Linked DNA regions of Caenorhabditis elegans. The protein of the gene in region 2 interacts with the protein of the main gene of each other region in a pairwise test. Each region holds a gene or a part of one and is shown on either strand. Other genes may lie near its edges.

What was found. The genes of interacting proteins can lie anywhere in the genome.
Region 1: the proteins of npl-4.1 (region 2) and scrm-5 interact in a two-hybrid assay, tested with the Caenorhabditis elegans proteins (one large-scale study listed by BioGRID).

Annotation. Positions count from the first base shown.
Region 1 is NC_003282.8:4,160,427-4,165,379, forward strand, and holds scrm-5 (Phospholipid scramblase), read left to right. Parts: upstream 1-1,994; 5' UTR 1,995-2,037; intron 2,038-2,092; 5' UTR 2,093-2,095; coding exon 2,096-2,320; intron 2,321-2,368; coding exon 2,369-2,728; intron 2,729-3,613; coding exon 3,614-3,800; intron 3,801-3,857; coding exon 3,858-3,997; 3' UTR 3,998-4,054; downstream 4,055-4,953. Other genes in the region: scrm-8 (Phospholipid scramblase), read left to right, coding at 4,353-4,571, 4,620-4,953.
Region 2 is NC_003280.10:5,629,430-5,634,189, forward strand, and holds npl-4.1 (Nuclear protein localization protein 4 homolog 1), read left to right. Parts: upstream 1-1,921; 5' UTR 1,922-1,929; coding exon 1,930-2,073; intron 2,074-2,124; coding exon 2,125-2,490; intron 2,491-2,552; coding exon 2,553-2,744; intron 2,745-2,791; coding exon 2,792-3,524; intron 3,525-3,614; coding exon 3,615-3,769; 3' UTR 3,770-3,855; downstream 3,856-4,760. Other genes in the region: F59E12.6 (ubiquitinyl hydrolase 1), read right to left, coding at 1-15. UniProt on the Caenorhabditis elegans protein: In association with ufd-1 and ATPase cdc-48.1 and/or cdc-48.2, involved in the cytoplasmic elimination of misfolded proteins exported from the ER.

The DNA of each region.
Region 1 (4,953 bases), on a different chromosome or scaffold from region 2:
GTTCTGTTGTTGTGATTCTCTCGAAACGAAACCCAAATGAGAATAATATTTCCAATCTAGTAGCCAAAATTCGATCGCATCATGGAATGGTTCATGTAATTTCATCAAATACTCCATCAGGTGGATCCCAACCACTCACCCTCTATGACCTCTCATTTAAAACAAATGGACTAGCCGATTTTCGAAATGATGATCAATTCAACGATGTAAGATTTCAGAGGTCGCTCCTCACTCTTAATTAATTTCAGTCTCAAATTCGTTTTTTTGGGCTATTTTGGCCTGTAGCCATTTATTCGGTGAATCCTGTAGTGTCCGGAAAAGGCTCCATTGTACTGCCTTCACTGTTCCACACTAAACCCAACGGGACATTCTTTGCCGGGGTCGACTTTGCAGTAACTGTACAGAACCATGGTACAAATTTTGATATGATTATCATAACTTGTTAATATTACAAATTGAGGTCCCATTGATACATTCCAATCATTTTACCTTTCTTGGTACAATGCTTCATCATCTACCAATGGTGGTTTTTATGGATATCCAGGATCCCCATCCAATGAGGTAACGTTTCCTACATGTACTCATACGATACCGTTTTTTGAGGTTACTACCTTTGAAAGTAATAACCTCACGATTAGAGACTAAATGATTAAAGGATTAAAGGTCGATCCGTTTTTCAAGCGTTGTGCACTGATTTTTTTGGTTTTTTGAGACCAAAAAAACCAAAAAATAAATTGCAACACTGATTCAGCAAAAAATTAAACAAATGAGAACAAAAAACCTTGTTCAATCGTTCGTGTGTTCAATTTTTAATATTTCATGAAAAATTCCTGTTTTGTCCCGTTTGATATCAAACCGTGAAATTTTTTTTGTTTTTTGTTTTTTTTAGTTTTTTTTTGTTGGTTTTTTTGAAAATTTCGATTTTTTGTTTCTTGTTTTTTGGTCCAAAGTTCGACCAAAAATTTTTTTGTTTTCTGGTCGAAGTTTGTTTTTGTAATACCTGGTGGTGATCCTACTGGGCGGTAATTTAAGCCACACCCAAGCTGGGGACTGTGGCCGTTTTATAACTTCAGTAACTGTTTGATAAGACAATAAATTTCGAGAGCAGGCTCCAGTAATCCTATGCCTCACTAACAGGGAATATACGTTAGCTATTTCAGAAAAATAGCACAATTCGAGCAGGCTATGGAAACCTCGATGCTGCTATCTACAACATGAAACTTGAGTACTCATATTCTGACAATACGCCAATCAAACTCCAAATTAGACAATACGCTGCGATGTAAGATAATGTTAGTGCTAGTTCATCAGAAAAATAACTTTTTTCAGCGATATTGACTACTGGCCACCATATGCTGACTAAATGCCAAGTTTTGCAATTCATTTGAATAAACATTTGAACATTCCAATAGCTTACACATTTCAACAGATAACACTTCAAAAGTTTTTTAGTCTGGGAGATTGATAAAAATTTGTTTCAAAGTAATTTTGCAGAAATTAAAATTCTGCCACACTATCCTGTATGGAAGAATTTACATGTCGATGTGCATTCTTCTAGTTGATAACTTTGAGACTCAGCGAACGCTTGACAAGTTATCACTGCTTGTTCAAGTACTGATTTCGAGCTCCAAATTTATTGTGCTGGTTGCCAGGAGCCACTGGTTTCAGGTTTCATGCTGCAAAGTCATCTTCAGTGTTTCACTGAAGATCCACAAAACGAATATATAGTTTGGCTGCTTAACCATTGAAAATCTATTAGTTTTTGTTCAGTACCGAAAATTCAGATCGGTGAATTCGAGAAAGTTTTGGAAGAGCTGCGGGATGTTTTTGTTCATAGTTTCTAGAAAATTTGGAGCCACGGGGTAAATAAATAAATTTTTAAATAAATTAGATAAGTTCAAACGTGAATATGAACTTTCTGCCCTTTCTGCCCTATCCCTTTTCCCCACGTATTCAATTTTCGAAACAACAAATAAAATCAATACTCCCTTCGATTGAAATTCATTCATTTTCGACTAGTGAACAACGATCTGATATGTGAGTTTTCTTATATCTGTCAGTGTTCCCCAAAAAACCCGCAAAATTTTTTCAGAAAATGAACAAACAACCGGGACAGCAACCATTGAGATCGCTTAGCTTGACGTCTGCGGCCAAGTCACCTGAGGAGGTTGAGCCGGAGCAGGATTCGAAGAAAGGAGAGCCACGTGCCAAGGCTGCAGGATTCGGAGGAGGTGGAGGTGGTGGAAAGAGACTCCCAGAGGCAAGATCTACGCCAATGGTCATTCCGAACCAGGTAGCAGCGATGCCGGTTCAGATGACTGTAAGTCATTCTAGCTAATAGTGATCGTTTTAACTTTTGACTTTTCAGGGCTTCGTCCAACTTGTCGCCAACAACATTCTCAGCGCCATTGCCCATACCAACTCTGTGATGGTTGTCCAATGCATCAAACCCCTCGAGATCTTCACCGGATTCGAAACTCCGAATCGCTACGTGGTCCATGACATGTACTGCCGCCCGCTGCTTTATTGTATGGAAAGATCGAACATCTTCGCTCGTCAGTACGAAGGAAACGATCGTAACTTCGGAATGCAGATCATGGATACCCACGGAGCTCAGGTGATGACGTGCTTCAGAGGAAGACCATGCTGCTCGACCGATGATTTTCTGAGCACCCAGTTCCTCGATCAGCAGATTGGGATGATGAAGAAGGAGTGCTGCAATCCTAATGTGAGTGCTAGTATCAAGTAAAACTACAGTAATCCAGAGCCCTGAAGCATTCTTTGGAAAAATCACATTTTTCTCAAAAGAGATCTTTTCGCTGATCTGAGTTTGCATCAATCTTGATCGAGCTTAGAGCCAGGGCTGTGCGGCAAATTTTGAAACTTGCAGTGCTCGGCAAACGGCAAATTTGCCGCACACCCCTGATGCCCTATCTATAGTCCGATCTATAATATATCTGTAACTTGGCACATAGCAACCTAGAGTCTTTCCGCTTTGCTCTGCCGCCCAGCCGCAAGACATTGATACACAAAAGAGAGCAAAGCGGAAGGACTGTAGGTTGCAATGTGCCAAGTTTGTACTGACATAGATATAGACTATAGGTTACTAGACTGTCCAAATGTCTTTCAGTATTAAGATGTTTATCTAGAAAGCCTATTACTTGGTACATAGACGTACAGGTTTCACGCCTTTGCTCTGCCGCCCAGCGGCTAGGCATTGACACACTAAAAGAGAGAAACACAGAGCAAGGCGGAAGGACCGTACGTCACCAATGTACCAAGTTACAGATATAAATTGCACTATACAATTGCACTATACGTAGATCTATAGATCTATATCTATATACCGCTGAACGGCAACATCGGGACTAGCATGACACCTTGTACAAGGGCAAACTCGGCAAATTTGCCGAGCTCAACTAACTCCGAAAAATTTGATGTTTTTTGAAGCACCAAAACTACTGAATTTTTAACGCGGCAAATTCGCCAAATTCGCCAAACTTGCCGCACACCCCTGATCAGAGCAATCGTTCCTATAGGCTGAAGCTTTATTAGCTCTTCACCTGAATCTCCCATCCTCCTTGAGACACATCCTATTAACCTTTTCTTTCAGTTCGAGCTCGTCGGATCCGGCTGCAACCAGCCCCTGCTCATCCAATCTCCAGGTTGTGCAGGCTGTGGTGGCACCCAGAAGTTCCCAGTGATGACCTTCAATGGTGTGCTCGTCGGAGAAATTGTCCGCCTCTACCCGGGATTCATGCAGGAGATGTTCACCGATGCGGACACCTATATTGTTCATTGTAAGCATTTTATTCTAAGCTTCTGATCTTTTCTATCTTAATTTTGGAATATTTCAGTCCCAATGGACATGCCGCCAATCTTGAAGCTTCTGCTTGTCACCTCGGTTTTCCTGATCGACTTCACCTACTTCGAGGATCGTAACCAGGATCAACATCGTAACGGCGGAATGCATAGCGGAATGCATAGCAGCTTCTAAACTTATAAAGGATCCTGTTCACAAATTCACTTGCAAACTAGAATAAACTAGTTTTTTCTGGCTTCTTCTTACTATACCTACTAGCTGATAATTTCTCAGCAAAAGATTGCGTTTTCTGGGCACAAATGACTTGTTAAAATTGCGATAACTAATACACGTGCAGCAGACAACAATTCCGCAGATAATTTCCTATTTTTTTCCAACAGAAATTTAAATCTGACGTGAAGTTCCACATAGTACAATCAGATCAGATTTTCAAAATTAATTTATTTCCGACTTGTGACCAACACTTTTCTATGTGAGTTTTCTTATTTCTCTTGGTTTTCCCTCAAAACCCGCATAATTTTTTCAGAAAATGAATATTCAACCGGGACAGCTACCATTGAAAGCAATTAGCTTAACGTCCGCGGTGAAGTCACCTGAGGAGGTTGAGCAGGATTCAAAGAAGGATGAGCCACGTGCCGAGGGAGCGGGGTTCGGTAGAAGAAACAATGCTGGAACGAAGCTGCCAGCGGCGAGATCGACGCCAATGAAAATTCCGAATCAGGTGGCAGCGATGCCGGTTCAGATGACTGTAAGTCATTCTAGCTAATGGTGACCGCTCTAAATTCTGACTTTTCAGGGCTTCGTTCAGCTTGCCAGCAACAACATCCTCAGCGCAATCGCCCATACCAACTCTCTGATGGTTGTCCAATGCATCGAACCGCTCGAGATCTTCACCGGATTCGAGACTCCAAATCGCTATGTGGTCCACGACATGTACTGTCGTCCGCTGCTTTATTGTATGGAAAGATCAAACGTCTTTGCTCGTCAGTACCACGGAAACAATCGTAACTTCGGAATGCAGATCATGGATACGCACGGAGCCCAGGTGATGACTTGCTTTCGAGGAAGACCATGCTGCTCATGCGATGATTTCCTGAGCACCCAGTTCCTCGATCAGCAGATTGGGATGA
Region 2 (4,760 bases):
GTCTCGTGAGCACATCTTCTATTAAACAAAATTAGCACTAGGCTAGTTCTCTTCTAAAGTGAGAAATGAGAAGAAATGTGAGTTGTAGAGACGTGTATAATAAAATCCATAAAAATTAAAAATATTGTGAGTTCTTCTGAGATTACGTGAAGGCCGAATAAGAGGTGACGGTGATAATCACAAGAATTTAAAAATAATTTTTCCATAGAACGAATATATAATTGCGTAAATGGTCGTGGTTGCTCAGAATCTCGAGAGACTGTGGCAAATTGTCGAAGTTTTGGCATTTTGCCAAAATTTGGTAAATTGCCAAATCATCGAAAATGTATATTTTCAAAGTGATTTCGAGCAGTTTTGGAAACTTTTACTATAATATTTGAGCACTTGAGAAACCGATTTCAACTATTTCCATACCGTGGAAAAATTATGTTTTAAGTTTTGGCATTCTGCCAAAGTTTTGACATTTTGCCAAAATTTGGTAAATTGCCAATTAGTTCAAGGTGTGTACTTTTAAAGTGATTTTGAACAGTTTTGGAAACTATTACTGTGATATTTTAGCACTTTAGGAACTGATTTTAACTATTTCAATACTGTATAATAATTCTTTCGACAACATTCTCATCGGGCCACATGCGATCACGGAAGAATCTGAAATTAAAAGATAAATAGAAAACAATTTGAGATTATTAAATATTACCTCTCGGTGAGATCTGGAAAAGCTTGATCGTAGAGAGTCAAAATTTCCGGCACATTTTGTTCGTCAACCATGCGGGAAAAGTAGACCAGGTAGTCGGCGACCTCATTTGGAACTCCATCCTCATCGGCTGAAGCTGTTAAAAATTAAGAAATGAGATAAGTTTGTGTTGTTAACAAGCACCTAAATAACTACCATAAATATGTTTATAGAATTACTCTATTGATTGATTATCAATTTTTCTTTTGAAAAGATTTCACAATGCACGATCATTGATCCTCTGATACTCAACTTCTCTCTCGGGCTTTTAAATGATTAACTTCTTATGAACTCTTATGAACACCTTTTCATTTATTATTTCTTTCAAATGAATAAAGCTGTGATTCATTTAATCTGAGATTTGAGGATATTCGACACCGAAAAACACTGAAAATGACAAAAGTAGTCATTTTCATATACAATGAGGGAGTTCTGAGAATTGGCATTGATTCTTCACTGTAACAGTATTTGGAAAATTTGGTTTTTCTGAATTTTATGTATTTTGCTCATGGAATGTTAATCTGCAGTTTTTATGCAAAATTATTTCAGACCAAATTCTCCAAATGTCTGTTTGCCGAATTAAAATAAATCGGTTAATCAAAAAAGGACCGAGTCTTCAGTCTTTTCGAACTGTTTCAAATTTTAACATTTTTCAACTCATTTTACTCTTATTCATCAATTCTGAAAAATAGCATTCTGTGAACTTACAAGAAAAGGTGTTGGTGCGACGACGATCAGAGTGATCTTCAGTGGATAAATCGAATTCCACGCGTCGAGACATTACTGAAAGAAGGTTTTTATATTGATATTATTTAAATGTCAAACTAAATTCGAAAAGGTACGCTAAAATTAAGAGAAAACATTTTTTTAATTGTAAAATTTGATGAAAGGAATTGGAAAATGTGATGGAAAAAAGAAAATTGCAAGCGTTGCATGGGATTTCGCAAGAGTGCCGCACGGTTTTTTGTGTACGCATTTGCTCGTCATTCATGTTGTCTAGGCAGTTTTGATGACATTTTTTATTCTAAAAACAAAATGTTTTATTTCATTTGCTGTTTAATGTTTGAATATGTATGGAAACTAATTTGATACCCTTTCCGCTGCATTATTTTTGCAAAATCTCAAAATTATATATCTTCAATTCACTACCTAGAAGGCATATCTTCCTGCATTTAAAAATCTATTTTATTTCAGATATGGTACTTGAAGTCCCTCAAACTGAGCGTGTCAACGACGTTGATGTTTTTTTAAGCACGCAAGATGGTCAAATTCAGCGTCCAAAAGGGCCCAACTGTCGGCATCCTGTACGTCAAAAGTGCACTAATTGTTTGCCTGTTGATGTAAGTGATATTTTCTGTTGTTTTCATAGAAACTAATATCAATATTTACAGCCATTCGATGAAGAATATTTGAAAGAAAAAGATATCAAGCATATGAGCTTCCATGCACATGTTCGCAAGCTCCTTGGATCCCAGGGGAAGGGCACGACTCTCAAAAAACCGCTGGAAAACTTTCGATGTTCATTAAAACCCAACTGTGATGCTCACAAGCCGTTCCCGAAAGGAATTTGCACTAAATGCAAACCACAGGTTGTAACATTGAATCGTCAAAAGTTTCGTCATGTTGATAACATTCAAATTGAAAATCAAGAGCTTGTAAATCAGTTTTTGGATTATTGGAGACTATCGGGCCATCAGCGTGTTGGATTTTTAATTGGACAGTATCAGCCTCACCTTGAAGTTCCACTAGGAATCAAGGTAAGTTCAGTACTTCATCACTCATTTCTTGAGACGAGTTATTTCATTGCTCATACTTTCAGGCTACAGTGGCTGCAATTTATGAACCTCCACAACACTGCCGTGAAGATGGAATTGAGTTTTTGGAGGATAAAAATCAAAAAACTATTGACAATTTGCTGGAAATGCTTGGCTTGCAACGTGTTGGATGGATCTTCACAGATTGTTGGACAGCTAATAGTGCTGAAGGAACTGTACATTATACACGGCACAAGGTGAGAACAATCTCGAAGAGAAGCCCAAAAAACGAATAATTTTTCAGGATTCCTTCTTCCTATCAGCTGAGGAATGCATCACCGCAGCAATGCTTCAAAATCAACATCCAAACATCACAGAGTACTCGATGGATCGTCACTATGGATCCAAATTTGTGACCGTTGTTGCATCTGGTGATGAATCGATGCATGTTAATTTCCACGGATATCAAGTTTCAAATCAATGTGCGGCCATGGTTGAAGCTGATATTCTCTGTCCAACACTGTACACTCCTGAATTGGCTTATGTTCGAGAGACACCATTATCCGAAGAACATTATATAACTGATGTTCAATTTTCGATGAAAAATGAATACGGAGCCGAGGTTATGAAAAACGGACGACCACTTCCAGTTGAATATTTGCTGGTGGATGTTCCTGCTGGAATGCCAAAAGAGCCTCACTACACGTTCCACGTTGGCACATCTAATAAATCGAAGAGTGCCAAATTTAATGTTGAAAATCGACAAGCAATTGGACAACTTCAAGGAGGTGCAAATTTGATTCAATATTCATCCGAATTCTCTAAAAATCAATTTTTGGAACAGGCTACAAACTTCCACTTTTTGCTCTATTTAGTAACCAATGACCAAGTGCAGATTTCTGATGAATGGATGAAACGATTGTGTGATGCAGTTAAAGCTCAGGACAGAGGAACTGCAATGGAATGGGCTCAGGAATGTGAAGATTGGCATCAGTTGATGGCTTTAGCGCATGCTAATGGAGGAAGCGGCAATGACGGTAAGCTATTATTTTAGTGTGATTAACAACAATTTTGAAAATGATTGCTTCTCCGATTTTACAAAGAATATTTTAATCGATTTCTCATAGTTTCAGATATTCCTGTCATTCCAAATGGTGATCCTTTCTCCGGATCAAGCAGTGGTGGATCAGGAGGAGCTGTGTGGAACTGTGGACACTGTACATTCCAAAATGAAGCAGCAAGACAGGATTGCTCGATGTGTGGATTGCCAGCTGCCGATTAAAAATTCATTTTTCTGCTTTTCTACTAGTGTATTTCTACTGGTATGCTCTGTAAAGTCACCCACAAATGAATTCTTTTCTCCATATTTTTCATGAAGACAAATTAAGAATTAATTCTAAAACAAAAGCAAAGCTTCAGGAGAAATTGAAAAAACGTTAAATACAATTTATGAAATGTTTTCCATTCGTAGAAAGCTATCCATTTTCCATTTTCAATCTTTTTGAATTATCCAGTCTCGTTCGAAGTGCGCATTCAAAATTGTGACGTCTGGCCAACTCACCAGAGATCAGAAAGTATGATTTTGTTTCAAACTTTGAAGTTTTGTATTCTTTATTTTTAAAAACAAAATTTCAAAAGACAAATCTGAACAATTTTTTCTAGAAAGTTGAATTCATTAAAAGTGCAAAGAACAGAGTGGGCGTGGCCAAACGAGACTCCGAATTCCGCTTAGCAGTTTGCAGTGTGATTTCAGTTTCGATCGAAGTTTTGCAGCTTTTTATTCTGAAAATGGATTTTTCTTAAATAAGTGAATTAGTAAATCCAAATTATCCGAAAAATAACGATATTTGTATTCGAACAATATAAGAATTCGAACAAACGATAGTGCTATAGTTTTTTTTTCAAAAATGGTAAAAACTCGGTAAATGTCTCTCAATAAATGTTTTTACTGTCGATAAAATGTTTTTGAAACGTGTTATTATGATGTTTGTTCACTTTTGCATATATGCCTATAGGAGTGGTTTTTAACCATTCCGGCGCTACTCAACCTTTAATATTATGAATACGAAAGCTGTTTTTCAGTTTGTTCTTGATCTGATCAATACGGAAATTTTTAGTTTAAAAGTTCCAAAATTTGGAGAATTGGGCTTTTCGAAAAACTTAGAGATCCTTGCTAAAATAGTTAAAACTTGAAATTAAAATATAAACACATAGAAAATACTGTTTTCCCGGTCTACTTCCAAAAGTATTATTGGGAAAACTGAGTATTGCTC